Linked DNA regions of Diceros bicornis minor. The protein of the gene in region 2 purifies or fractionates together with the protein of the main gene of each other region. This does not show direct contact. Links are inferred from orthologs where the notes say so. Each region holds a gene or a part of one and is shown on either strand. Other genes may lie near its edges. The genes, in order: CAMK2D, WDR76 and XPC.

The links.
Region 1: the proteins of WDR76 (region 2) and CAMK2D purify together in Homo sapiens (affinity purification with mass spectrometry; 3 studies listed by BioGRID and IntAct, counting the BioPlex papers as one, with this or other methods). This does not show direct contact. The link is inferred for Diceros bicornis minor from reciprocal best matches to the Homo sapiens genes WDR76 and CAMK2D.
Region 3: the proteins of WDR76 (region 2) and XPC purify together in Homo sapiens (affinity purification with mass spectrometry; 3 studies listed by BioGRID and IntAct, with this or other methods). This does not show direct contact. The link is inferred for Diceros bicornis minor from reciprocal best matches to the Homo sapiens genes WDR76 and XPC.

What each region holds. Positions count from the first base shown.
Region 1 is NC_080750.1:8,577,464-8,587,033, forward strand, and holds the start of CAMK2D (calcium/calmodulin-dependent protein kinase type II subunit delta), read right to left. Parts: upstream 3,751-9,570; 5' UTR 3,422-3,750; coding exon 3,357-3,421; intron 1,800-3,356; coding exon 1,705-1,799; intron 1-1,704. UniProt on the Homo sapiens protein: Calcium/calmodulin-dependent protein kinase involved in the regulation of Ca(2+) homeostatis and excitation-contraction coupling (ECC) in heart by targeting ion channels, transporters and accessory proteins involved in Ca(2+) influx into the myocyte, Ca(2+) release from the sarcoplasmic reticulum (SR), SR Ca(2+) uptake and Na(+) and K(+) channel transport.
Region 2 is NC_080744.1:41,109,848-41,119,404, reverse strand, and holds the start of WDR76 (WD repeat-containing protein 76), read right to left. Parts: upstream 4,000-9,557; 5' UTR 3,936-3,999; intron 2,513-3,935; 5' UTR 2,412-2,512; intron 2,292-2,411; 5' UTR 2,178-2,291; coding exon 2,118-2,177; intron 1,476-2,117; coding exon 1,065-1,475; intron 1-1,064. Other genes in the region: MFAP1 (microfibrillar-associated protein 1), read left to right, coding at 4,283-4,361. UniProt on the Homo sapiens protein: Specifically binds 5-hydroxymethylcytosine (5hmC), suggesting that it acts as a specific reader of 5hmC.
Region 3 is NC_080741.1:88,652,910-88,663,302, reverse strand, and holds the start of XPC (DNA repair protein complementing XP-C cells), read right to left. Parts: upstream 4,744-10,393; 5' UTR 4,713-4,743; coding exon 4,610-4,712; intron 1-4,609. Other genes in the region: U6 snRNA-associated Sm-like protein LSm3, read left to right, coding at 4,992-5,012, 7,463-7,573, 10,093-10,188. UniProt on the Homo sapiens protein: Involved in global genome nucleotide excision repair (GG-NER) by acting as damage sensing and DNA-binding factor component of the XPC complex. Has only a low DNA repair activity by itself which is stimulated by RAD23B and RAD23A.

The DNA.
Region 1 (9,570 bases), on a different chromosome or scaffold from region 2:
AAGGGGCCAGGGGCCTGTGGGTGTAGATTGTTCTTTAAAGCAGAGTATGAGCAGATGAGGAACACAGGCCAGGCAGCAGGGAGAGGGAATTCCTTCAGGCTAGAGAAGACATATCTTCCATAGATCGGAGGCAGAAGAAAGTCAAATAAAAACTATGTGAGTAGAGACAAGTGTATTTGCCAGTCCGATGCAGGGAGTATGAATTAAGGTGGATGAAAAGGGCTGACTAAGACCAAGGAAATTAGTAAAAGTGAAGCACAAGACTGATTTGTCTTGAGAGAAAATTTGCAGCCACCAAAAGATTCAGGATAGGTTCTGTAACGCCTCGGAAGAAGTGATACCCCACTCTTGCCAAAAGTACCTAGCACACAGGAAGAAGTCCTACAAGCACTCAAAGAATTTGGCTACACACTTTCATTTTTCTTTTTTTTTTTTTTTTAACACTAAAATGTCACTTACAGTTTAGCAACTCCTTTTCGCCGTTAAAAACCTTCCTGTGTAGTAGAGGGAAGAGGAACATAATCCAGTATATCTAGCTTCCCATTAGTTCCCATGCCATGAATCAATGGTGCTGGTTACTTTAGCATATACATCTTTCTCAGAATCACAGTAAAATCAGATGAAGGAAATCACAACAAAACCCCATTCAAACAAATAAACTGAAATGCAAACCTAAACCTAACGTACTTGTTAAAAGTAGAATTTGCAACAAATGGGGAAAAAAACACAGCAGAAACCAAACACAATGACCCCAGGATACCAGGAAGCACCACATTTTAGAAGACAAATTAAATGAGGAAAACTAATCCTAATGCAATTTCTCCTCTCATTAGTTAAAATAAACCAGGTCACTGAAATGGGCTTACACTATGGCATTTTGTTCATTTTAATTGCATTTTTATTTCATCAAACCATAAATTCCCATGGAAATACCTCAGCCACGTGCTCATGATAATTGAAATGCCTAACATTTCAGTATAAGTACTTTTGCACGAGTTCCACAAAATACAAAGAATGCAGTGAGGGCCCTCCAAGTTTTCTGCTTATGTCAACAGCTATTTTATGAGTATGAATTATCTTCGTGGTTATAAAGCATGTGTAAAATACATTACACGAGTCTGTGAGAAGCCTTACTGCAGAAGACCAAGTAAACGTCTGAACTGCACACAGACAACAGCAAAATCGAGCTGAACTTCCTAGAATATAGCAATCATAAGACTTTCCTCCCAAAGCCATTACTGTTAAATATACCTTGATGAATTAAGTTCAAGTGTAACTACATTGAAATATATGATTCAACTGAGCTATGACCTATTTTTCCTCTCAAAAGCAAAAGGGAATAATGACAGTGGTGAGACTTACATTTTTCCATTCCAGGGTTTTTCTGCAAGTTATTTCACAGTACAGCTAAAGGCAAAATGCACTTAGTGACATTTATTTGCTTTAAATATAGTTAGTTATGCTACAGCTCATGGGACAGAAAGAATTTTAATAACAATTTATTAAATAATAACAATTATATTTGCTCATTTTTGTTTAAACTGTACAGACCAAGAGGCATTCAGGAAGGAAATAATCTCAATATGTAATATGATAACTAAGTCTACAATTCGATTATAACTAAATGATATATTTACATACAACAAAACCAACACTCAACATGACAAATACAAAATTAACATATATGTGGTTGGAAATACCCACCCCTAGCAGAAAGCTTTTTGGTGTTGATAATTTTGGCAGCATATTCTTGTCCAGTAGGGATTTTCATACATCTTCTCACCACTGAGAATGCCCCCCTGAAAACCAATAATTAGCAGGTCATCAGTATAATCAGCTCTGATAGTCTACTAAAAATTACAACAATCTGAGCATTTTTTTGACTTTAGTGAACAAATATCAGTGCACTACAGTAATAGCCAAAAAATGAAGAATTCTTCCTGGAAACCTAGACCTTCTTTAATGTTGAAGAGTAAAAGTAAATTTTATTTAATTGGGAGCACACACTATTAATCAACAAAATGAAAGGAACTGCCAATTATGACGGCTCTTGTTTGCACACGAAATTTGAAAACATTCTACAATTCACACTCACACAGCACCAAATGCTCTGAGACAAAACCCTGCAAAGAGCAGAGGTGAGAAGGAGCAGCAAAAAATCTGCTGCCTATTTATTTTGGTAAGGAAAAAAATTAATGTGGCTCCAAGTTAAGTAAATATGGCGATTGTTTTCATTAAAATATAAATCTTGGGAACATTTGTGTGGTTTAACACATCCTGGTAGGGTGATTTCTCTGTGCCCTGTTTTGGGTTGGGGGAGGGGAGAGATTTGAATTAAGCTGCTCTTCCGACATATTCTCCATGTTTTAACAGCAAAGAACATATAAATATATAAGGATGTAATTTTCACTACATTTCTTTAATTCAATTGTACAAAACAACAACATACACATAAGCGCACCCCTTTCACAAGTAATAGTCGAAACTAGCGATAGAGGAATTGGGTTTGAAGCTACATAAACCAACATTCACGGCTCGGTCCCTAGGTCCCTTTGCACAGGTCCTCAGCAGGTCTCCTGTCCCCTTCCTTAACATCTCCAAGTAGTTCTGCCAGTCGGGTGTAGGAGGTCGTTTTTCACAACACTAGGCTACCTTTGGGGAGCTCTCTCCCGGTCTCCAGAGGGCTTTTCCGCTGTCTGCAGAAATAAATCCTCGCAGAGAATGCGAAGATGCGCCCGTAAATCCTACGAAGGATGATGACGAGCGAGTAATCTAACGTAAAGAATGATAGTGGATATGGGGCAGGGGGTCGGGTTCCTTTGGGTGGCCCTTTTCCTGGACAGAACAACTACTGGATGCGAAACAGACTCTAAGCCAAGTTGAACTTTCGGCATCAATAAACATGGCACCGTCTGTGGCAGCGAGTTCTCATCCGTACGTGGGTCCTACCGCCGACACGCCGGCTAACCAGGAGGCATCTCTATTTACAGAAAACATGATCTATGTGCATTTCACATGGGTTCTTGTTTCCTCTCCACACACACGCTCGCACACTTCTCAGCGTGACAGCTACAACTGCAGGGCTCGTAAATCCACTAAGTCTCTAGGGCAAAGGGTGGGGGAGCGGGAGAAGGTGGGCTGAGGATTATCGGAACGGGCTACAGCCGTGGTGGAGGGTCTGTCCCCTCCCCTTACTCTGACAGCACCTTCCTCCGAGCTGACACACCAGGGGCCCTCCTCCCTCTCCTCTGCCGCCCAAACTCCCTCGCCCCACGCGGGAGGCCGGTGGGTCGGGGGTAACGCGACCCGCCCTCTGCTGGAAAGGGGCCGTGCGGGTGCCCGGCAAAGGCGCTTACTTTCCGAGCTCCTCGAAGAGCTGATACTCGTCCGTGAACCTGGTGCACGTTGTAGTCGAGGCCATCTCGGTCCGGGCTGTGCCCCTGGCCGGGCGCGCGGCGGACGAGACGCGAGCGGGCGCGCGGCTTCCCCGGGACTGGCCCCGCGGCGCTGTCACCCAGGGCCGCCCGCAGTTTCCTCGACCGAAAGTAGCTCGCCGGCGAGGGAGTGTGCGCAGGGGCGGGGCGGAGGGGAGATGACCAGAACGGGTGGCGTGGGGTCTCCTCCCCGCAGTCCGCCGAGCCGCCGCCTCCTCCGGGCCTCGCTTCCTTCTGCTCCTCTGCACGCTCCACCCGCCCCCTTTCCAGCCCCTCTCCCCAGATGCAGGGGGCCGAGCGCTCAAGAAGAGGGGCTCGGGGCGAGCAGTCGCGAAACGCTCCGCACCGGGGCAGGAGGGGCAGGGCGGAGGGGAGGGCGCCCGGGGGGCGGAGGCCGCGGAGCCGGGAGCCGACGGCGCGAGCCCAGCTGCAGCTGTCAGCGGGCGCGGGCGCGGGGCGCGCCGGGGCTCGGCCGAGCGTGCGCGCCCGGGGCCGGCCGCCCTCCCGCGGGCTCCTCGGCGGCCTCGCGCTCCCCACGAGCCCGCGCCGCTGCGAGCCCGCGCGGCCAGGAAAGCGCGCTCGGCTCGGGCGAAGCCTCGTCTGCGTCCCCGTGCCTCCGCCTCCTCCTCGTCGCCGGTCCCACACCTCCCTCTAGCGACTGCAACCGTGTCCCCTCGTGGATCTCCCTCCTCCCTGGGTCTCACACAGGCGCACAGCCGTCTAGGGAGAGACCAGGTGGGTGGAGGAGGATGTGCGGGGGAGAAGCCTGGAGACGCTTTAGGTGAATGAGGCGAGACGTCAAAATTACCCAGTTAAACCCGCAGTGAGGTCCCTGCCTGAATCTGGGGCTGACTTAGCGGGAAGATGCGTGCTAACTCGTGGACTGCCGGGGGCCCCGGCCCTGCGGTGGGCGCCGGGCACGAGGGCGGCCCGAGCCGCCATGCCCGGCCGGGGGGGCGAGGGGCGCAACCCCTGCCCCTCGGCGCCGCTCCGCCGTCGACACGGCGGGGCCGGATGTGGGCACCTGCCCGCCTCCAGAAGGGTCCCAGCCTCCCCACGCGGCAGAGGCCGCGCCGCCCCCGCCCCGGCCCCGGCGCCGACCCCTCCCTCCCTCGCAGCCCCTTCAGGAGGGGCGACGCCCGCCGTGCGCCACGTTTCACTTCTGATATGACTGCCACCCGCTCTCCCCCGCCCCCGCCGTGTGCTGGGTTGGCTCGCCCAGACTCTGGCAATCCCCAAAGGCCTTTGCTGGGGCCATGAACGTTAGCAGCATCAAAGCAACACCTCCGCCACCCAGCCACACCTTCCCCTCCGAGTAACTCTGCCGTAACCTCGGTGAGTTCTGATAGTAAGGCGTCTTCTCGCGAGATTTCCTGCTCCGGCGGCGGGGGCGGGGCAGTGGGAAGGTTGGGTATCGGTCACGGGACCTGGTGGGGCTGACGTCACTCGCATCACACGAACATGTCTAGCCTGTTTCACTTTGCAAAGAGAGAAGAAAAAGGAGAGGTCGCGTGTGCTCTGCTTGCATGCTCAACGCTCTGGCCAGTTAGTGGCACATGAGTATACTCCGTAAATGGCTCTCTGAAAACCCACTCAACAGTTGGAGAATACGTCCTACTCATTCACATATCTGGCACTGTTTACAGTAAATACGAGAAAAAATTTTGCATTACATTTAAAATAGATAAATTGCTGATTGCTAAAACAACCCCCGGGCCTGCCTTCCAGTCCTACGTCTTTAATAAACTATGCAATTGCAGATTAGAGGCAGACCAAAAACAGAAACCTTTTGAACTGTCGATTCCAAATTACTGCCTTTTGTTTTACAGCAGGGACCCTAAAAACTTTTTGCAATTCTATTGCTAATTTGTTCATCGTTACCGTTGCATCACGGACTCAAAATTTCACAGCTGGGAGATAAACGATAACTTGGAGATACAGGGATTTTAAGATGTAAAGGAGTTGTTGCTTGTTCCCAGAGGCTGCTATTAATTAGTAAATTACCTTGTCAACGGTCACACGTAATCCTAACTCCCTTATTTCCTGATCTGGGGAATGCTATTCTGCCAGTATAGCTTTTACCAAAGTTCTCAAAATGTTCACGATTTTTAACGCTTTTTATAACAAAAATGACATTTGTACATATTTTGACTCCCAACCATAAAAGGAAAGATAACTTTGTGTAAAATGTAGTGATACGAGAAAAGATGATACCAAAAACTATAAAAAGGAAAGAAATAAGGTGTCTAAATATTAATAATTGGGCTATAAAATTTAAAAAAAAAACAATTTGGTCTAGGCTATAAGATTTTTAATATATATCTTAAATATTTAGCAATATGGTTCCAAGTTATAATGCAATAATTTAATCTTCTCTGAATCTAAAAATGAAATAGAAAAGTAAAATTAAAACAATAAATAAAGGTAATATAAAATTTTACAACTCTGGGAAAGAAAATTGTTCTTTAAATATTCAAGTAATGAGGCCTACATAATGACAGTATTTATCTCAGTTATTTAAACTACTGATAATTGTAAATGGGTTAATGATAATTGTGTGATACAATAAAGGAAACATAACTGAGTTTTAATATTGATGTATTATATTACACAATAAATGAGTACTTAAGCAAATACTGCTTAATCTATATTCTTGGACTAATTAAAATATTTGTCTTATTTAAACAAATATTGACAGTTCTAAAGTTTGGACCTCCTTAAAACAGTAATCCTTCTAAAGTTACACAGAAATTCCATTTGGATTATTATCTCTTGCCTCCTTCCTGGTCTCCTCCTTCTGCCCTTTGCCCGCCTTCATTCTGGTCTCAGCATAGCAGCCAGAATTATCCTCTTAAAACCTCAGTCAGAACAAATCATGCCTTTGCTCAAAACCTTCTGAAGTCTTCCCATCTCAATTGGACCAAAAACCAAAATTCTAAAACTGACTTACAACGCCCCAAGGGATCTGCCCTCCATCTCCGCTCCTTTAGCCTTGTACCCCAGTTTGTGCTCTGGCTCCTTCTGCTGCAGCCAGTTGGCCTCTGCTGTTCCTGGAGCGTGACTGGAACGCTCCTGGTTAGGGACTTTGCATTTGCTCTTCCCTCCTTCCAGAATGTTCATCTCTTAGTTACCCTCGACCTCATTTCTTCACCTCCTTCCAATGTTTTCTCAAATATCACCTTATCAGTGTGGCCTTCCCTGGCCACCCTATCAATTACTGCACCTCTTTCTGACATGATTTCTATTCCCATCTCCTGCTTTATTTTTCCCCTTAATACCTATTACCATCTAGTATACTATAAATTTTATTTTTTTCCTTGTTAATTGTTTATACTTCCAAACTAGAATATAGGCTCCCAAAGGCATGAATTATTGTCTGTTTTGTTTGCTGCTCTATTTCCAGCAACTAGAATAGTGCCTGGCACATAATAGCTGCTCAATGAATGGGCAAATTAATTATTTTGGGGTTTAGATTATCTAATCACAATTTTCATATTAAAGTTGGTAGTTTATAATTAACATACCAGTAAGACTTCTTACTGTAAAGGTAGTCATTTTCAATTAAGATGGTCACAGTATCCTGTGGGAGACCAAAATTGGCCACCCTGAAATATATCTCTTTACCTTGATTATTTTCTCTGACAGACATTTGACCTCCCCCCACTAACTGCCTAAAGGAATTTAACTCTGGGTATGGACAGACTGGCAGGGTCCTCACTAAGCCCATTCTTAACAAAGGTCTGTTTACCAAATATTTACATTTGTAAAGGTATCTCCCTCTGTGTAGTGGGAAGAGGGGGAGGAGATGACCTTATCTGTGAAAACTCTTATCAGGACAGATGGAGAAGACTTAAATCTACATACTCTTTTTTTGTGTGTGTGAGGAAGATCAACCCTGTGCTAACGTCTGCCAATCCTCCTCTTTTCTTGCAGAGGAAGACGGGCCCTGGGCTAACATCCATGCCCATCTTCCTCCACTTTATATGGAATGCCACCACAGCATGGCTTGCCAAGCAGTGTGTCGGTGCACGCCCGGGATCTGAACCGGCAAACCCTGGGCCACCACAGCTGAGCGCGCACACTTAACTGCTTGCGCCACGGGGCTGGCCCCTACATACTCTTGATTACTATAATTCCTTTCTCTCTGGCCATATTCTCTATAGGTGGCCCCGCAAAGCATTGTCTGACAAACATTTACATTTCTCTCTTCATGTAAATTGTCTTCTTCCCCTCTGAAATCCCAAAACACCACCCACCCGCAACTTCCTCCTTTGTCTTTAGCTGAAGATAGTATTTAAGACAAGAATCTCTGCTATTGTGTTGAGAAACTCAGTTTCCCTGGTTTCTCCCATGTATATATGTTATTAAACTTGGTATTATTTTCTCCTGCTAACCTGTCTTTTAGTTGTTTGGCCAGCCAGAAGAACCTTAAGGGAAAGGGCAGAGGGGGATTCTCCCTCTTCCCCGACAATCCCATGATTAAAAGTGCTTATGCAGGGCCGACCCCATGGCTTAGCGGTTAAGTGCACGCACTCCGCTACTGGCGGCCCGGGTTCGGATCCCGGGCGCACATCGACGCACCGCTTCTCCAGCCTTGCTGAGGCAGCGTCCCACATACAGCAACTAGAAGGATGTGCAACTATAACATACAACTATCTACTGGGGCTTTGGGGGAAAAAAAAAGGAGGAAGATTGGCAATAGATGTTAGCTCAGAGCCGGTCTTCGTCAGCAAAAAGGAGGATTAGCATGGATGTTAGCTCAGGGCTGATCTTCCTCACAAAAAAAAAAAAAAAGTGTTTATGCAGAGAAATGGATTTTAAAAATATGTTAACAATTGACATCAAGGGAAAAGAATCTAGTATTAATTTTCTTACCATTGAAGTCCATAAAGGAAGAAGGAATTTCTGTTTTTTAGATACATTGGCCTTACTAAATTTTACATTGTAATAAAAGACAGATGCTAACAGTTTCCAATAACTAGATCTCATTATGAAGACACAAGTCAATGTAAGGAAATGAAAAATGTGGCTTTAAAATGAGTTTTTGAAGAGCAAAATGGAAAAAAATTTCTAAACAGTAGCATATTTGGTTTCTCAATTGATTTAGATTAATCAGACAAAACTCAAGACCAGCCAGCGTATTACTTCCAGCTCCTAACTTTCTACTTTGCTAAGATGGAAGCAAAGCATTCATAATGTTATCCTCTTTTGAAATTTACCTTTTAATACTGGTAAGCCAATAACAGCAAAGGAGGAGGGGTGAGGGGTGGGGGGGCGGGGATGCTGGGAGGGTTGAATAGTAGTTGTAAGCAGAGCCCTCTCACTACCTAGATTGCTAGACTTCAAATGAAATTGTGTTAGTGCCAAGAGCAGGATGAAATCTTGCTCTAAATGTACCCCATCCCTTTTTTGTGATAGCATGAACTGACAAATAGTAGCAGAGACATATAAGACAGACTAAAAATGATCACTATATACAATACAACGTCAGAACCAAAGACAGAAAGTATCTTCTTTCTCTCTCTCCTTTGGTCACTTGCCATTGAAACCTGCACAACTTCAGTAGTCCCACTAGGAAGAGAGAAGTTTCCAGTACTTAAGTGAACAAAGCAGATATTGACAATCATTGATTTCCCTTGCTACAAAGTTACAAGACAAGAAAACAAGAAGAGATGATGCTATCTCCATAGCTCCCCAAAGTGCAGAATCCATCAGTAATAAGTAAATTTCTGTGAGAATTTCAGCAGGGTCTTCATTGTAGCCACTCTTCACTGCAGATTTAGAGGCAAGAAGAACAAAGCAACTTGCTGTTGCTTTTTCCAGTTAGCCTTCCTAACGTAGGATAACTTAACCACATAGAGCCAGACACAAATACAGTCTAGTAGTGAGCGGATTCTGGTAGTAATCTATTCACCAGACCATCCATTCGTGCAAGATGAATTTACAGAGGAACAAATGAACTAGTATTCGTAAAACAAAAGCTAACAACAGACAAGGTTTTCTTTGTTTCATCAGGTGCTGAAAGAATTAATTTTTTCCTAAAAATAAAAATAAATGTGTAAATACATAAGAAAATAAGCAATATCCACACAGTGAAGAAGTAGCTCATTTCCCATTACTTCCAAGTATATTGGTT
Region 2 (9,557 bases):
TAATCCAGTGGTTCTCAAAGAGCAGTCCTGGACCAACAGCATCAGTGTCTCCAGGAAACCATGTTAGACAGGCAAATTCTATACCCCACTCCAAAACTTCTGAATCAGAAAGTCTGGTGGTGGAGCCCTGCAATGGAGTTTTAACAAGCCCTCCAGGTAATTCTAATACAAGCTAAAGTTTGAGAACCACTGATCTTATCCAATTCCCTCACCGTAGAGGTGACTAGCTTAAAGGCACAAGGTTTCTTAGAAGTGGCCATGCCTAAAACCTAGGCTTCCAATGCATTTATGACTTACCACACACTGTGCCACCACAGGTGCTAATCCTTACCTCTGGGACAATAAAGCATAAACTGAATTCCTATTTCATAATACCACCACCTCAATTATCCTATCTCCCTTTCCCTACCATCATTTTCTGTTCCCCTAGTTCCATCAACCTTTTTGTCATGTGGTAGGGTTTTATCTTGTCTTGCATAAAATTTGTCACTTTAAATGAAGTACAACACTCCTGGTAGGCAATCGAAGCCAAAGGAGTTAGATGCCTAATTCCCTAAACTGATTCTATTATTTTAAACAGAACTAATAAGTGTTTCTCGTGTATCTTCTCTACTCCATCATTTGTCTCCTTTTTGTATTTAATGGAAATATTATTCAGCACATCAATGCAATCAATTAATGATGATTTTCCTACCCTGACATCAAGGGTCACTCAAATGCCATATGTCCCACAGGCCAACTTCTGGTATATTGTGCATAAATACGTAAAGGTAAGCAAGATACCATAAAGTATGCGTAAACTCAAAAATATATGCAATAAACCAAGAGGAAGAAAAAGGGAAGCAGAGTGAAAATTAAGTTAATCCTTTCCTTGACAAATCAAAACCAAGAGCAAAATTAACTCAACAAAGTTATCTGTTAAACATTTAAAAAATTTTTCAATTAAACATAAATTAGATAAAACAATCTGCTTGAGCTAGAGAGACCTCTGATAACCTTCACTTACCAGAACTTCAAATTTTAAACTAAGAAAAATTTGAATAAGCTGGTATTTAAATTCTTACCAGGCCTGGTGTGGTATCTTCATCACTGTCTCCATCCTGACTGCTTTCCATATCAACACTGAGAATCACTGTATCTGAAGTGCTCTTGTGTCCTTGCTTGTTACTTTCAGTATGAACATCTAAGGATGATTTTTGCAGAGTGGATTCTGCCTTGGAAGATGTGGCTTCCATCTTTGGAGTTAAAATTCTTCTGCAAGTTTTCTTTATTTCAATCTTCTTACATTTCTTACACGCCACTTCATTGTTAGAATTCTTATCTAAGAGGGATTTGGGGCACTTAAGTTGGTCTGGTTTGTAATTACTGAGTGAAAAGGGGACAAGACACACCTTAGCTGTTTTTCCTAAAACTGTAGTCTGTACTGGCCTTGGAGATACAAAATCAATGTTTTGGTTTTCTTTATATTCATTCACCTGTTCAGGTCAATAAAGGAAAATGGAGAGTGTTAGAATCCCAGATCCTATGTCTTTTCTTACAGATCTGTGTAAATAAATCTCATTCCTATTTCATAATAACAACATAAATCCAAACTGATAGCCTGTAAGGAAACTTTTTTCCTCCAAAACCTAGATACTTAATTCATTAACCTGAATAGAATTATTTATTATACTGGGCACATTTCTTGCCCATATGAGTCTGCCAGACCAATAATAATAATGACTACAATTTGTATCTAAGGTGACTCTACCCCAACTGTCAGCTTCTGAGTAAATGGAATTGTTTCAAGAGTAGGAAGCTGACACTAACTGCTGCAAAAGCAAATGCAGAGTCCCTGATCCCATCCTGCCACTATTTCTGGGGTTACTGACAAGAACCTTCCTCAATGCCGCAGCCTACTCTCACAGAGGAAACCAGGGCAGGGATCCCCGCTTATCTTTTGAAGCAACACCCCGAAAAACTCTTTAAGCTGAGGGATGCCCCAAGCGGCGGGAAATCGTTTTGGAGTGAGGAGGTGCCGGGTGCCAAGTCCTGGTGCCCTCCCGGGCCTGTGCCCGGAAGATCCCTCTCGAAGACTGAGTCAGGAGCACACCCGAAAGCGACAAGCCCTTTCTCACCTTCACCTGGAGTCGCTGTCTGGAGCCAGCCTTCTCAGCCACCGCGCGCGACCCGGACATCTTTCCGCCGCTTAACAGCTGGCGTCTTCCCGCCAAGATTGCGGCGGGAGGCGGGGGTGGGAGGGAGTGGGAGGGGCGGAGCCCGGGCGGCGCCGGCGGGCGCTCAGATCCCAGCTGGCCGGGGGGGAGGGGCGACACGGGCGTTACCGTCGTCCCTTAAGGAGCCAAGCCTACCAGCCTCACCCCCAACTCAAATTCTTGAGGGACGCGATGGGACCGAATCGACATTTTTACCTTGGATGCCGGTGATTTTGATGTTGCTGACGCCAGTATCTCACTTTGAAAAACACTGGCGCTTCTGCTGAGGATAAGCCACCTTGCCTTACAACGTGAGGCTGGAAAAGATTCAGACGCACTTAGATGCCGGATAGAGAGCAAAGGAAATCGCAATCAACATGCAGCCCTTACCTCGGCCCCCTGGTTCCTTATACCACCACCAGGAAATTAGGCCCCATGGCTACCACATTATCTTATTCCTAGGAAGGGAAGTTTTTTTTAGTTTTTTTTCAAGAGCTGATAACTTAAGCTAGTTTAAATTTCACCTGATCATCTGTCCACCAGTTAACTAAGATCCTAATGAGGACCTTACAAAGCCCAAAGGCTAGGGAAAAGTTGTGAATCAAATAATTTTTGTATCACAAAGTAACATAAGATTTTAGTGCACTGTATTTCTTATAGTCGCAGCGATATTAAATTTTTTTTTCTATTCTCTGGGTTGCTGTGAGCCAAAACAATTGCCTTCCCATCACACTCCCTCTGGACAGCATAGTTTTGGAGCTGATAAATTCATAATATAAATTTCTATCTACTTTATTTTTAAGGTCCTTTTCTTTCTAGCCCAAAACTGCTCCCTTGGTTGGTTATCTGAGTCCTCCACTGTTCCTTTTATTTCTTCTGCCAGCCTAGGCTCAAGTTGAGAACACAAGTGAAATAATTTGAGAACTAATCCTATTAACAGCACCTTCAAGGCCCTACTTGATCTGGTACCTGCCAAACTTTCACCACTCCTTGACTCAAAAATTACTGATAAAATCACACTTTTCATGGTGTCTGATATATACGCTATTTCTGGACTTCAAGACTTTGCTCATGCTGTCCCTTCCCTCCCAACCATAGCAGTTTTAAAATCCCTTCTACAGTGAAATGTGTTCTGACTTCTAATTAGCCAATTTTTTTTATATAACCGAGCTAGTAATTGCGATTGCTTCTATTATGATTCTATAAGCCCTTGAAGACTTCCTAAATTAAATTAAAGCTTCTTGAGGATACGAGCCTTTTAACAATATTCGTTACTGCTTACAGAGAGCTAAGCACAGTTAACACAGCAAGTACTTAATAATTACTCAAAGACTTATATACAAACACTTCCCAGCCAGGAATATATTTTAAAAGGTGGTCTCCAGAAGCGGAAAGAACCAGAAAGCCTAAAAGTAGAATGTTCGGATTTCAGGCGTTGACTCAGGCCCCCTGGGGGATTTTTTTTCTTTCTTTCTTTCTTTCTTTCTTTTTTGCCACTGGCCTAAATCACCGCGACCTGCCCTCGCGTGACCAAAAAGTACCGCACCAAAACCCACTCAGCCTCATCAGCTAAATTAATCAGACACTATTAGCAGGATTTCTATTCCGATTAAACTCTAATTCTGAGCTTTCTACAGTCTGGACAAACTGCCCTTCACTATCTCCTCAGTGTCTTATTCATCACTATCCCATTTTCCTCGGCTTCAAACCAAGCTAACAAGCGAAACCTTTCATTCGGACCTTCCTCGCCGCAGGGTCTTAACCGCAAAGCCCAACCGAAGCAATTTCCCGCCACAACCGACGTCCAAATATGTACTTCCAGACTGAGGACGCTAGGGCAGCCTATGAACATGCGCAGTAACAGACTCGGTGTTCTAGCGGTAGTCGCCCAGAGGTCCTCCACAATCCCACAATCCTCTGGTCGCATATTTCCGGTTTTTCTAGCCCAGCCGTAAGTGGCGTTTCTATCAGTCCCGCAGCCGTGTCTAGCGGCTCTAGGCTGGGAGGTGTTTTCTGTTCGTTGACGTTGAAGCTGTTCGCTGTTTGGAATCAGTAAAGTTTCGGGAGTCACCGCTGCTGTCGTCAACATGTCGGTCCCAAGCGCACTCATGAAACAACCGCCCATTCAGTCTACGGCTGGGGCCGTCCCGGTTCGCAATGAGAAAGGTACTGTGCTGAGCCGTTTTCCAGTCGGGTCTTGCCTCTTCCTTCCTCAGCGTACTCCAAACCTACCCCGGGCCGACCACCCCAACCCCACCGACCCTTAAGACCCTGCCCCCTATTTCTTCGACTTTCCCCGTCACACTCGCACCCGATCACGTTGCCTAGGGTAAAGAAAACCCACTTCCATCTCATCTTGTTCCTATAGCCTGTCTGCCCTCACCTACAGCAAGCACCTATCTTCCCTTGGCCTCCACCAATTCGTTAGACTAACATATATAGTGAATGCCTGTTGTTTGCAGGGATTTGTGCGGGATACAGTCCCTCTTTTTTTTTATCCATAGCAGTCTGTTTATGCTGCTTTTATAACTCATCGTTATAATTATTTATGTATCTGTCTCTCGTACATCATAAGCTCATAACCTCCTTGAGGCAGGAACTATGTCTTATTAAACTTTTTATCCCTGTCAGCCAAGGCAGTGACTGTATTTATTAAATTGAATACAAAGTTGTGTAGGACAGTCCCCCTAACCTTAAGGAACTCGTATTCTAATAGATGTGAGACATGCAAAAAGAGGCACATTCTAAACAGTGTACAGTCTTTCACACCTGTAATACCTGTCACTAGGTGATATAAACCAAATACTGTGGGAGGGCAGAGGAGGAATAATCTCTTCAGATTGGGGTAATCAAGGAAAGCTTGAAAGAAAGGTGGCATTTAAGTTGATCCTTAAAGGACAGATAGGATTCCAATGAGTGCAGATGGAAGAAGGAACACCGTTTCTGTTTGAGGAGTCAGAATAAAGAGTCAGGATTTTTTCATTAAGGGTTTTGGAAAATAATAACAGTTCTTACTTTTGTGTTTTTTGAATATACTGAACCCATCCTTGTGCAGCTTGCCTTTTTTTTTTCTTTTAACTCAGCATGGCGTTTGAGAAGTATCCTTTGGATACATATGGATCCAGTTCATTCAGTTTAATTGCTTATAAATTCCATTGTATAATTAAACCACAGTTTATTCCCTACTGAGGGACAGTTGTGTTGTTTTTTCTCCTATTACAAACATGCTGCAATTGTCATTCTTAAATGTGTCTCTTTAGTGCACTTGTATAAGAATTTCTCTAGGGTAGACTCCTAGAAGTTCATCTTCAATTTGTTGCCAGTTGCTCTCCACAGTGGATTGTAAGAGCATTAGGAGTTTTTATTTCTCCATGTGTTTATCCACACCCTTGGTTATATCAGATTTTTTAATTTTTGCCCAGTCTAATGAGTGTGTAACGATATCTCATTATTTTAATTTACATTTCCCTGATTTCTAGTGGGACTAGGCATCTTGTTCGTGCGTTTATCCACTCTCTGGGTTTTCTCTTCTATGAATTACCTGTTTCTGTCATTTACCTGTTTTCTATTTGTTTCGTTTTTTTTTTTTTTTTTTTTTTTTTTTTTTTGTGAGGAGATCAGCCCTGAGCTAACATCCGCCAATTCTCCTCTTTTTTTTTGCTGAGGAAGACGGCCCTGGGCTAACATCTGTGCCTATCTTCCTCCACTTTATATGGGACGCCGCCACAGCATGGCTTACCAAGCAGTGCGTCGGTGCGCGCCCGGGATCCGAACCAGCGAACCCCGGGCCGCCGCAGCGGAGCGCGCGCACTTAACCGCTTGCGCCACCGGGCCGGCCCCTTTGTTTCGTTTTTATACATCCTAAATCTGTAATATCTATTTCCCCAGGTTTTTTGGCTTGTTTTTTAACTTTAGTTATGGAGTCTTCTGTTACACAGGCATTTTTAGTTTAGTGTTATCACATTTATCAATTTTATCTTTTATGGTGTGTGCTGTTTTGTATACTGTTTAAGAAGTCCTTCCCTACACTGAGATCATAGACATTCAGTTTTCTATCGTCTGAATGTTTGTATATACTAAGTAGGATTGAATACACAATTGTGCAAGACAGACTAAGTTAAGGAGCTTACAGTCCAGTAGGGATGTAAATGTTTAAGATAGGTTTTTCACACTTCAGCCTTTAATCTATCTGGAATTTTTTGTGTGTATGGTGTCAGTTAGAGATCTAATTTTACCTTATTATCTTAGAGTTAGCCAGTTGTTCCTACTACTCCATTGTTTGACTAGCCTATCCATTCTCCATTGCTTTTTTTTTTTTTAAGATTTTATTTATTTCTTTATTTTCCCCCCAAAGCCCCAGTAGATAGTTGTATGTCGTAGCTGCACATCCTTCTAGTTGCTGTATGTGGGACGCGGCCTCAGCATGGCCAGAGAAGCGGTGTGTCGCTGCGCACCCGGGATCCGAACCCGGGCCGCCAGCAGCGGAGCGTGCGCACTTAACCGCTAAGCCACCAGGCCGGCCCTCCATTGCTTTTTAATGTCACTTCTGTAATATAGCAAGTTCTCATATAGGTTGTTTCTCTGGTCTCTACTTTGTTCCATTGGTCTCTATGTACCCCGAGTCAATGACATATTGTTTTAATTCCTGTGAATTTAAATAAGCCTTGCAATCTGATACAAAAACCCTCCCCCCCACCTCACATTCTTATTCTTTTTTTTGTTACAACTTTATTTTTTTAGAGCAGTTTTAGGTTCACAGCAAAATCGAAGGGAAGGTACAGAGATTTCCCATATACTCCCTACCCCCATACATGCATAGCCTCCCCTATTATCAACATCCCCCACCAGAGTGATACATTTGTTACAATTAATGAACCTACATTAACACATCATAATCACCCAAAGTCCATAGATTACATTAAGAATCACTCTTGGTGGTGTACATTCTGTGGGTTTGGACAAATATATAATGACATATATCTATCATTATGGTATCATACACAGTATTCTCACTGCTCTAAAAATTATCTGTGCTCTACCTATTCATCCCCCTCACCCCCCACCCAACCCCTGGCAACCACTCATCTTTTTACTGTCTCCATAGTTTTGCCTTTTCCAGAATGTCATGTATTTGCAATCATACAGTATGTACCCTTTTCAGATTGGCTTCTTTCACTTAGTAATATGCATTTAAAGTTCCTCCATGTCTTTTCGTGCCTTGCTAGCTCATTTCTTTTTAGTGCTGAATAATATTCCATCATCTGGACGTACCACAGTTTATTTATCCATTCACCTAGTGAAGGACATCTTGGTTGCTTCCAAGTTTTGGGAGTTATGAGCAAAGCTGCAATAAATATCAGTGTGCAGGTGTTTGTGTGGACATAAGTTTTCAACTCCTTTGGGTAGATACCAAGGAGCATGATTGCTGGATTGTATGGTAAGAGTATGCTTAGTTTTGTAAGAAACCACCAAACTATCTTCCCAAGTTGCTGTACCATTTTGCATTCCTACCAGCAGTGAATGACGGTTCCTGTTGCTCCACAACCTCATCAGCATTTTGTGTCGTCAGAGCTCTGGATTTTGGCCGTTCTGATAGCTGTGTAGTGGTATCTCATTGTTGTTTTAATTGACATTTCCGTGATTACATAGGATGTGGAGCATCTTTTCATGTGCTTATTTGCCATCTGTATATCTTCTTTGGTGAGGTGTTTAAGGTCTTTGGCCTCACTTTGTTCTTCAGACTTGTCTTGGCTTTTTGGCCTCCTTCCATATGATTTTAGAATCAGCCTAGGGACAACTTTTTATGGAATTGCATTAAAATTATAGATCATACATTTATTAACTCAGGTGTAGGTGCCATCTTCTCATCCTTGAACATGATATATTTCTCAATTTATTTAGATCTTTTATATCTTTCAATAAAATTATATGTTTTTCCTCCTGAAAGCCTTATACATCATTTGTTGAATTTATTTCTTGGTATCTTATAGATTAGTTGCTATTGTAAATGGTATTTTTAAACTGTATTTGCTAATTATATGTAGCTAATGTACAGGTACACTTATTTTTATCTAGCATTCTTCCTGAATTGTTTTTTTTAGTTTGTCTGTTGGTTATCTTGTATTTTCTACATAGATAATCATATAGTAGCAAATTATGGCAGTTTCTTCCTTTTCAATCTTTACCTTTTACCTCTTTTTCTTTTCTTTTTTTTTTTTTTTTATTTTTACTTTATTTTTTTCCCCCAAAGCCCCAATAGATAGTTGTACATCATAGTTTCACATCCTTCTAGTTGCTGTACGCGGGACACGGCCTCAGCATGGCCGGAGAAGCGGTGCGTCAGTGCGCGCCCGGGATCCGAACCCCGGCCGCCAGCAGCGGAGCGTGGGCACCCAACCACTAAGCCACGGGGCCGGCCCCCCTCTTTTTCTTTTCTTATTGCCCTAATTAGAACCATAATAAAATGTTGACTAGAGGGTATGATAGGGACAAGATAAGTATGCCCACTGTTTTTGTTGTTGTTGTTTTTATTTTTTTTCTTGAGGTAACATTGGTTTATAACATTATATAAATTTCAGGTGTACATCATTATATTTTGATTTCTATGTAGATTACATCATGTTCACCACCCAAAGACTGATTGTCATCCGTCACTGTACACATCTGCCCAGTCACCCCTTTTGCCCTCCTCCCTCTCCTCTTCCCCTCTGGTAACCGCCAGTCTAATCTCTGTATCTGCATGTTTGGTTGTTGTTGTTTTTGTCTTCTTCTATTTATGAGTGAGATCATACAGTGTTTGACTTTCTCCCTCTGACTTACTTCACTTAGCATAATACTCTCAAGGTCCATCCATGTTTTTGCAAATGGCAAGATTTCATCTTTTTTATGGCTGAGTAGTATTCCATTGTGTATATATACCACATCTTTATCCGTTCGTCCCTTGATGGGCACTTAGGTTGTCTCCAAGTCTTGGCTATTGTGAATAATAGCATGCCCACTGTTTTTTAAAGGAATGCTTCTAATGCTTTTTCATTAAGTATAATGTTTGCTCTATCTATTGTTAACATTATGTGACTTTAAATATATCAACTTTAAATAGTACATTACTTTTTCCCCTGTTAATTTCCTAAGATTAAGCCATCCTTGTAGTCCTGGGCTAAATCCTATTAGGTCATGATGGCTTAGAGTTTTTTTGTTAGTTTTTACATTGCTGGAATAAATTTGCTATTAGTATTTTTGTATCTATGTTCATAAGTGAAATCCTCCTAAAGTTTTCCTTTGAACTGTCCAGTTTGGTTATCAAGGTTATATTTATCTTATAAAATGTATTAGTTTTCACGCTCTTTCTTTTCACTGTAATTT
Region 3 (10,393 bases), on a different chromosome or scaffold from region 2:
CAGTTTTAATTAAATTAGAGGATCTAAAAATATAACCTAACTTATAAAAATATTAATACATTAATTTTGATAAATAATTTATAAACAATATGGCAGGGGAGGATATTTTTGTATTTTGCAAATTTATTCATGCAAATGATCTTGATTCTGAAATAAATCTTCCTTTGCCTTTGCGTGACTCTGCTTCAATTAATTTTGGAAAACAAAAATATTCTAGCCTTTACTGAGGCTCTAAAAGGAACTGCAATAGTAACCTAAAATATCAAATTAATTCATTCTTTTCATTTATGGTTTGTCCTGCTGACTCTCTGGACAGGTATTTACATTCCCCATGAATACACTTTTGCATATGGGAAAGAGACTCTCCCTTTAATCTAAATAAAATCATCCTTTACTTTTTTTATTTTTTTAATTTTTTGTGAAGAAGATCAGCCCTGAGCTAACATCTGCCAATCCTCCTCTTTTTTCTGAGGAAGATTGGCCCTGAGCTAACACCTATGCACATCTTCCTCCACTTTATATGGGACACCGCCACAGCATGGCCTGACAAACGGTGTGTCGTGCATGCCTGGGATCCGAACCTGCGAACCCCGGGCCCCCGAAGCAGAGCATCCACACTTAACCGCTATGTCACCAGGCCGGCCCCATAAATCATACTTTAATTTAAATAAATTTCACATTATGGGCATTGTGTTAATGTAGATAAAATCACTGATGCTTTCTAAAAGAAAGAATTTATGCATTCCTATGTCTTAGCCATTTTAACACAGACACAAAAAATAAGGAGAAATTTTGAAAAACAAAATATTTCAAAATTACTTATTTAGAATCTGGGGAACAGATTTCTTATTCCAAGACCGGAAGCTGCTTAAAGGTTTGACTAGACGGTTTGAGTAGTGTGCCCTTAAAATCAGGATTTCTGGATCTTACAATGGTCTTTACTCTCTATTAATAAGCAAAGATGCTAATACTTCATTTTTACTAATCTAAAAACCCAAGTGGGAGGATACTTCACAGACACTGTTTCTTCCTCACCAAACTGATCTGATTGGTTATAAGGCACAGCTGTATATTTCTGTGCTTTGAAGAGAGAGGTAGAGGAGTTAAAGGGGGGGGAATTGGAAACAAAAAACTGTGAATCAAAAAAAATCATTCATATTCATAATATCCAAAAGTTTAAAAACTAATGTGAATAACCAATCATGAGATAATCATTAATTATGGTACAGTCACACGATGAAATATAATTCAGTCATCTTTTAGACAAAGAAAAATGATATATGATAAAATATTAGGCAGGCAAAGTTATTTTTACAGGGAGTTTCTACTGCATAAAAAAACACAGACTAGAAGGAAATATACCATTGTTTAGTGGTGGTTATTTCTGGATGGTAGAAATATGGATGACTTTGTTTTTTCCTTTATCCTTTGCTGTGTTTTTTTGGTCCTAGAGAATCCAGAGGCTATTTTCCAGGACTCAAAGGTCTGGAGTTATCTCATCTGTCTAACCAGCCTCCCTGAGCTCAACATGGTTATTTCAGCAGGACAGGAATTACCACTGTGGCTGGCTTGGTCATCAATTGAGATTTAATAAGAATACCTGCTTAAACCTTCCAGTGGCATCTCACAGCACTTAGAATAAGATACATACTCCTTAGCTTGTTCTCCAAGCTAAGGGCCCCAACAACCTCTCTCACCTCAATTCCTACCACTCGCCCCCTCACTCACTGTGTCCAGCCAAATGGCGAAGCTCACCCCCCCCCCCGAAACTCTTGAAACTTACTGTTCCCTCTGCCTTTTCCCCCACAACTTCCTAAGAATGGCTCCATCGGGGCATTCAGTAATTGGCTCAAAATGTCACCTCCTTGCAGAGGCCTTCCCTGACGACTGATTCTGACTTAGCTGCTTCTTCCCCACCCCCATGCCCATTTTATTACAGCAACTGTTTTATTTTCTTCATAGCTCTTATCACCATGTGAATTTATTTTTTAACGTCTTATTGTCTGCCCTACCTACTCCTCCCCAAAGATTATAAGCATCATGAGAGCAGGGACCTTGCCTGTTCTGTTCACTACCATAACTTCAGTACCTAGAACAGTGCCTGGGAACAGTGGGCGCTCAATAAATATTTGTTGAAGGAATTAATGAATTACATCAATGAAGGCATTAACACAGAGAAGAAATATGAAGAAACTAGAGGTGCCCTAATAGAAACAAGGAAATAATGTGGAAGAAATGTTTTCTTTGTCCCTAACTGCTGAAAGCAGCCACGCATCACCTTCATTTGCATGCCCCGAGGTGCTGCTAGAACTTACACTCAATGATCACCAAATCAGTGTCACCTGCAGCCCAAACCACGCCTGCTCCTCCCCTCAACCACAGCAAAGATTGCAACTCTTCCCGGAAGCTGCCTTGGGAACTTACTGCTAGCTCCGCTGGCTGGCAGTTTCAGTGAAGCTTGGGGGCATCCTTAACTATATTTAGGCTGAATTGTTACGAGCTAACCCGAATGATTATGTAACATGGACCGTGCCAGGAGCCTTATATGCTCTTACTGAAAACTCACAACCACCCTGCAAGATAGTAGTATGTTCACAGACAAGGTTCAGAAAAGCTGTGTTATTTGTCCAAAATAATTTACCTAAGTGCATATAACTACCAAGCATTGGAGCTACACCAAACTGGTGCCCAAGTGAAGTGTTTTAGCTGGGAGGAATGCTTTTAATTTTTGAATTGCCACATATTCAGAACGCATTCCCTCTGACTAGAATACAACCCCCTCTCACGACCATTTGCTGAATATTACCCATCCTAAATCCCAGATCACACATAACTCCTCCAGAGAGCACACCTCAGTCTCTCCAGTCAAACTTGATTATTCCTTCAGAAGCCACAAAGCCTTGCACCTTCTCCAATATCAGACCCTGCGTACTCTGCCTTGGATATTTTTTGTAAATGTCAACACTACTATATTCTAAGCTCCTCCATGAAATCTCTCCCCCATGTCACCTAGCCCATGTACAGCACACAGTAGGTACTCAGAAAATGTTATCTGAATGAGTAAATGAATGAATAAAATGGAACTCATTGTGAGGTAAATCACCTTCTAAGTTTAAAAATTGTTACCATTTGACTATTTCCTAATGGACGACGAACTTATATACAGAATCACAGAACTGTTGAATCTAGTGTCTGAGTCCTTGCTGGTTACCTAACCTTCTACCCAGTTATCTCAGGAAGCCCAGAAATCCTTTCCACAGCATGCACTTTGCAATTATTTAAAATATTTATTGAGCACTTAGTATATGGGGAGAGTGACAAGATAAGATACTGCAAAAAATAAGACATGCTTTCATGAAGCTTAAAGTCTGGTAAGACAGGCAATCAAAAGGAAGCAAATAAATTAAGAAGATCATTACAGACGGTGACAGGGGCGTTGAGGGCCTGTGTGATAGGGAGTATCCCGGGAAGACCACCTTAGAAAGGACGCTCAAGGAGTGTCTGAATTGACACCTAAAGGAATAGAAGAAATCAGGCACAGTAAAGCCATGAAGAACATTCTAAGCAGAAGGAACATCAAAGGCAAAGGCTTGAGGTGAGAAATAACATGGCATGTTTGAGGAACAGAAAGGAGGCCACCAATGAGAGTATCTGGCAAAGAAGAGTGGTAGGAGACAACAGGAGCCGTAGCAGCAGCCATATCATGTAGGGTCTTGTAATCCATGGTGAGGAATTTGGATTTCACACCAAGAGCAACGGGAAGCCACAAAGGGTTTGAAGTAGGAGCATGGCATGATCTGATTTTTTTTTTTTAAAGATGGTTTGGGCTGCTGAGTGGAGAACTACTGCAGAGGAATGAAAAGAAGTAGGGAGACCAGTAAAGAGGTGACCGCAGTCCTTCAACTGAGAAGTGACAGTAGCTTGGACAAAGGCTGTGGCCACGGAAATAAAGAGAAGTGGAGAGAGTGGAGATCTAGTTCAGAGGTTTGACTGACAGGACTCGCTGACTGACAGGATGTGTGCGTGTAAGGAAAACCAGGGGTCTGCTTTTACAAGCAGGTGAAGGCATCATTTACTGAGATGGGAAAAGGCGGGGAAGGAACAGGCTTACAGGGGAAAAAATCAAGAGTTTTGCTTTGCCCATGACAAATATAAGACGTCTATTGGATATCCACGTGGAGGAGTCAGTCAGGTTGGATCCGAATCTGGAACTCTGGGGTGAGACTTAGCTGAAGATATTCTGGGAGTCAGCACACTACTGCACTCTACGTCCTGGTCCATCCGTCTTCTGGGGACACAAAATAACTGCACTGCCTTTCCCCTGTTCAGCCCTCGGCATCCGCCAGGAGGCCGGACTTTGTCCTGTGGGCAACAGGGAGCAGGAAAGAGGCTACGCAGGGCAGCTCCCATGGGGTCGGGCTCCAGGGGAGCCGCTGAGGGCGCATCACTCCTCGTGGGGAGGACCTGGGCGGCGCCTGCCTCCCTTGGCCCCGGTAACGCGGTCTCCTCGGCCCCCCACCTCCAGGAGCCGGCCTCCCCGCTCCCCGACCCGGGCCTGTCTCCCGCCCTCGGGCATCCCCCTCTAAGCCCGGCTCAGCCTCGCTCTCACCCGCCTCCTTCTCCTCACGCCGGGCCACGCTCTTCCCTTTGGCTTTCTGGCCCCGCAGCCCGCGTCGCCGCGGGCCCCCGCCAGCTGCGCGCTTTCGAGCCATGCTGCCCGGGCAACACTAGCTGCTCGCGTGACGCACCACCCCGCGGGAAGCTGCCCCTGGCTGCGCCAGGCGTAGCCACGCCCCTTCCTCACAGGGCAAGCCTCCGCCCCCAGAGGAAGCTCCGCCCCAGCCCCAAAAGACCAAGGCGAACAGCGGGAAGCAAGGAGGTGCAAAACAGATTTCTTTGCACTTCCGGTGCATTGCGTCCTCGCGTTTCCGGAGACAGGAGGGAGCTCGCGTGCTCTCGCGAGAGGCAAGGAAGGGCGCAGGGTTTGAAACATGGCGGACGACGTGGACCAGGTGAGTGTCTTCTAGGGAGCTCGCTCCGGAGCGGCTTCTCCTCTCCCAGCCCTGGCCCTGCTCGGCTTTGCGTACCACGGTTGCTTTCTCGAAGCTCACGGGAAGGTGGCCGATCGTGCCGCCTCTTTCCAGGTCACCATGGCCTTAATCGGCCCGTTGCTAACCGCGCCCCCTGCGACTTTTGCTTCAAGCCCTGAGATCTTTTCTAGTTCGAAGCCCGCCTGAAAACTAGTTATTCCTCCCGTTCGTCGCTCCCTTTGTCTTCATTCTGACCTTTATCTGTAGAATGGGAATAATTACTCCTGCTTGCCTCGCGGAGCTGTCGGGATTCTGATACAAAGCGTGATAGTAAGGAGTTATCGTTATCGAGCGCAACCGTTATTACTCATTCAGCAAATACGTAGTGAACATCAGCGTTTGCTTAGACACCGTTCTAAGCCCCAAGGACGCCGGCATTGACATGCGTGACCCTTGTCCCCACTTGGGCTTATATTCTGGGGGAGGATAGATGAAAGGTAAACATAAATATATGCGTTATGTAGGCACTGTGATGTGGTATGGAGGACACAAACAAGGAACTGGTGTAGAGAGTAACTGATGGTCCCACAGGCTTTCTCACCTGCTCTTCCTTCTTCCCAAAATGCTCTTCCTCAGGTGTCTTTGTGGATCAGGCCACAGCTTCTTCAGCTTTCTAGTGAAACCTCACCTCATTGAAGAGGGCTTCTCTGGCCACCTACATAAAATAGCATTAGGCCCAGTCTGCTTTATTTTTCTTCATAGCGTGTTATCTGTTCATATTAAGTGTATGTGTCTTTGTTTGATGTCTCTCTCCCTCCGCTAAAATGTGAGTTCCTTAAGAGCAAGAATTTTGTTTTATTCACTATTCTGTTCTCAGGTTTTACTTTTTTGTGTGTGTGTGTGAGGAGATTAGCCCTGTGCTGACGTCTGCCAATCCTCCTCTTTTCTTGCTGAGGAAGACTGGCCCTGGGCTAACATCCATACTCATATTCCTCCGCTTTGTATGGGACGCCGCCGCAGCATGGCCTGACAAGCAGTGCATCAGTGCGCGCCCGGGATCCGAACCGGCGAACCCCGGGCCGCTGCAGCAGAGCGCGTGCACTTAACCGCTTGCACCACTTGGCAGGCCCCTGTTCTCAGGTTTTAGAACAGTGCTGGAAACATTCGAATACTTATTGAGTGAATGAATTGAATGATTAGGGAGGCCTCTTTGAAAAGGCAGTATTTAAAGCTACAGGATGAAAAGTGTGGACCGTGGGCATCCCAGACTGAGGCTAAAGGAGCCGTAGGGCTCTGTCATGAGTATATTCTTACAATATTATAATTGTCTATTTATTTGCCTCTCCCCACTAAAATGAGCAGGGACTGACTGCTGTGTCATTGTAATCCAGTAGTTGGTTAGCTGCCCATTAACAAACGCCTGTTGAACTGGGGTGGGGCCCAATTGAGGTCAGGATTGCTTTTTTTCTCATCTAACCTTTTAAGGCTGTAGAGCCTGCAGTGTTGGGTCACTTTCCTCCCCTGGCCTCATGTACTCCCTGAAGAAGCTCAGTAATCTCGTCAACTCTCCTGGCTTCTCCCTTCTGTATGGATGACCCCAAGTCATCCTAGCCCTGATCTTTCTGAGACCTGTTTCCAACAGTTCTTTAATAGTAATAACCTGAACCATTTATAAGTACTTTCTGTTTGCCAGGTACTGTTTTAAATACGTTAATTAAATACATTAGCTCATTTATTCCTCACAAGAATCATGAAAGGAAAATTATGGCTTCTTCATTTTGCACACAAGGAACCTGAGAATTAGAGGTGGCATGATTTTTTATCTCAATTCATATAAGTGTCAGAGTCAGTAGTTGAGCTCACACTGCCTGACTCCAAAGCTAGTACTTTCAACCAGTATTCTCTACTTCCTGCTAAATATATGCATCTTACCAGCCACTCAGCACCCTAGACTCAACCTGCCCTGTACTGACCTCGTGGTCTCCCTCAAACCTTCCTCACTGCTTGGCGTTCTGACTAGTGTGTGGTAGTCATTAAGTGAATGTTTTTCAAATTACTAAATGATATTTGAGACAGGGCTAAAGTCCCTGAGAGTGACTCACTATACCCTGAAATTGGGTCAGGCAGTTTGGATTTTGAGGGAACAAAGTACAGCCGTGATAACTTTGCTGTGTAACTCCTTCCTGTGGATGTATGTTTTGGCTCTCGTTTATATAACACTTACTATGTGCCAGGCTTTGTTCTAAGGCTTCATATATGTCATTTAAGGCTCACAACAGCAGTGTTAGGTAGGCATTATTGTCATCCACAGTTTACAGATAAGAGACTGAGGCATAGAGAGGTTAAGTAACTTGCCCACAGTCACAGCATAGCAATGATTCAAACACTACGCTCTTTCTAGTACTGTATCATAAGCCTGTTTCTTTTATCAGCAACAAACTACCAACACCGTAGAAGAGCCCCTGGATCTCATCAGGCTCAGCCTGGATGAGCGAATTTATGTGAAAATGAGAAATGACAGAGAGCTTCGAGGCAGATTACATGTAAGTAAATTTATTAAATTACGTGGTGGTAGATTACATGTAAGTAAATTTATTAAATTACCTGGAAATCAGATTATTTCCTCTTCATCCCTCCCTACCCTCACCCGCTTGAAATGTAAAAACTGTCCACTGTGGAAGAGTATTTAGTGTGTAGATGAGATGGAGGTAGAAAGTCACCCATATTTCTACAAGCCAAATACAGCTATAATTTATTCATATTTTTAACGTGTTTTCTCTTAACAGAAATGTTTATTAAAGAACATATTCATTTCTTTCATTTTTTCACTTCTGTTTATTTTTAAATAACATTTGTTTGTCCTCCATTCTTATTTAAATGTTTTTTAAATTACTGACATATACATAAATTTGTGTTTTGTTGTGGAAAAGAGGCACAGAGGGGCCGGCCCGGTGGCGCAAGCAGTTAAGTGCACATGCTCTGCTGCGGTGGCCCGGGGTTCGCTGGTTCTGATCGCCGGTGCACACTGACATGTTAAGCCATGCTGTGGCGGTGTCCCATATAAAGTGGAGGAACATGGGCATGGATGTTAGCCCAGGGCCAGTCTTCCTTAGCAAAAAGAGGAGGATTGGCAGATGTTAGCTCAGGGCAGATCTTCCTCACCAAAAAAAAAAAAAAAAAAAGGCACAGAAATATATAGAGTAAAAGATGAAATCCCATTTATTTCTATTGGTAACCACTGTTAAAAGTCCAGTATAGTCTTTCAGATCTTTTCTGTATATTTACACATATCTACATATAAATGTGTCCATATGCATGTATTTGTACTATATACACCACCTCTAAAAAAAGTAAATGGGATCTTGCTATACATATTTTTCAGCACTTTTCTTTTTCACTTACTCTTTCTTGGAAATCATTGATCATGAGTACATATAAATCTCCTTTATTCTTTTTAATGACTGCATGGAATTCTGTATTGGTAGTAGTGATATTTAGATTGTTTTCCATCTCTTGCTACTATAAACAATGCCACAGTAAGAATTCTTATACATATTTCTTTGTGTATATCTGCAACTATTTCTACAAGATAGGTCCCTTGAAATGGTCCCATTTATTCATAAAGAGAGTGTACTGAAGGTTTGTCTCTTCTTGATGGCCTGTTACTTTGCTGAGTGTCGTTTTTATTACTTTCATTCTACCCTAAAGTGATTAAAAATATCTAATATTTGTCGAGCTTTAATTATATGCCAGGTACTATTACTCTAAATGTTTTGTATGTAATATCGTATTTCATTTTTGTAACAACCCTGTATGGGTAGATACTAATGATCCCTGTTTTGCAGTTGAAGAAGATCAGGCTCAGAAAGGTGAAGTTACTCGCTTAAAGTGACACAGCCAGTAAAGGGAGGGCCAGAATATAAACCTAGGCAGTCTGACTTCAGCCCCATTCTTAAGTACTATGATTCTACCTGCCATAAAACCTAAAGGTCAAGAACCGCCTGTGGAGCTTTGAAAGGAAGTAGGGACCTAGGGAGGCAAGAGTCTTAATATCCAGCTCGCCTTAAGGGAAGAGGAACCCCAGGAAGTGGAATAGCAACACCTTTGCCAAGAAAAATAGAATTGCCCTTAATCACGTGGGCCACTGGCACATGGAGAGACACCCCGGGACAGACATGTTGCCTAACTCGTGGAGGCTTCTTCAGCTCCCTGCAGAGACTCGATTGCCTCTGTGCTGAGTGGCCCCCAACCTTCTGTTTGTTTTCTGGCCCTCATCTGTAGATTTTCACTCTTGTCAGTGTGCTCTTCCTAGCAGTTTCCCACGTGGCTGGTTGGCTACTTTCATTGTGATGTGAGCTGCTGTACCATTTAACACTTTGTTAGAAGTAAGTGTAAGTGGGTTGGGAACAAGGCCCCCGAAGGTTCACCTTTTAGTAGAATGCATGAGCTTTGGCGTTTGGAATGATCACATCCCTGAATATCTGAGTTGCGACATTTATTGATTTGAGCCCACAGGTGCCAAGCACAGTTCTAGCTAGGTTATAAATGGGCGGGGTGTTGCTCTACTTACTTTACCTTGTGGTGTTTAGTTTAAGACAGGGAGGGTTTAATGACAGTGTCTTATGCCATCATCTTAGCCGCTGAAGAATTTTACCTCCTTTACTGTGTCTTTCTTGTTGCATTGTTACAGATGGAATTGAAGGAAGTCTACTCAAAGTGATGAATTTGCTGTTTTTCTAACTAAATATTATAAGTGATGTGACTGCCCTGCATAACAAGTAGGGTGGACATTGTAAAAATAATTTCAAGTTATTTTGAGTAAATTCATCTTTGGCCACGTAAACAGTGTTGTATTTTTATCAGGTCAATTAAGTTATTGTTGGAATGATTTGTGAAGAAATAGTATATTAGTTACAGCAGGATTATTTTTTATTTATATGTGAAAGTTTGTGATATAAGTATTGTGGTTACTTGTAATTGAGCCATTTGCATATTGTAAGTCCTGTTCATTGTTTCTTAATTTGATTATTAAATTTCTTGGTCCTTCATCCTCCCACTTCAGGCTTATGATCAACATTTAAATATGATATTGGGAGATGTGGAAGAAACTGTGACTACTATAGAAATTGATGAAGAAACATATGAAGAGATATATAAAGTAAGTCATACAATTCTCCTCATCGCTTTTAAAATGTCAATTGTTCTCAACATCCTACAGCTTCACACCTGTTTATGGAAAGCCTGTCATGTTTTGACAGCTACTCATGGACTCAGAGTGTAGCAATTGAAAACAAAGGCTTTGGGGTCAGACAGACCTGGTTTCCAGGACTGGCTTGACCACTTCCTCCCTGGGGTATGTTAGG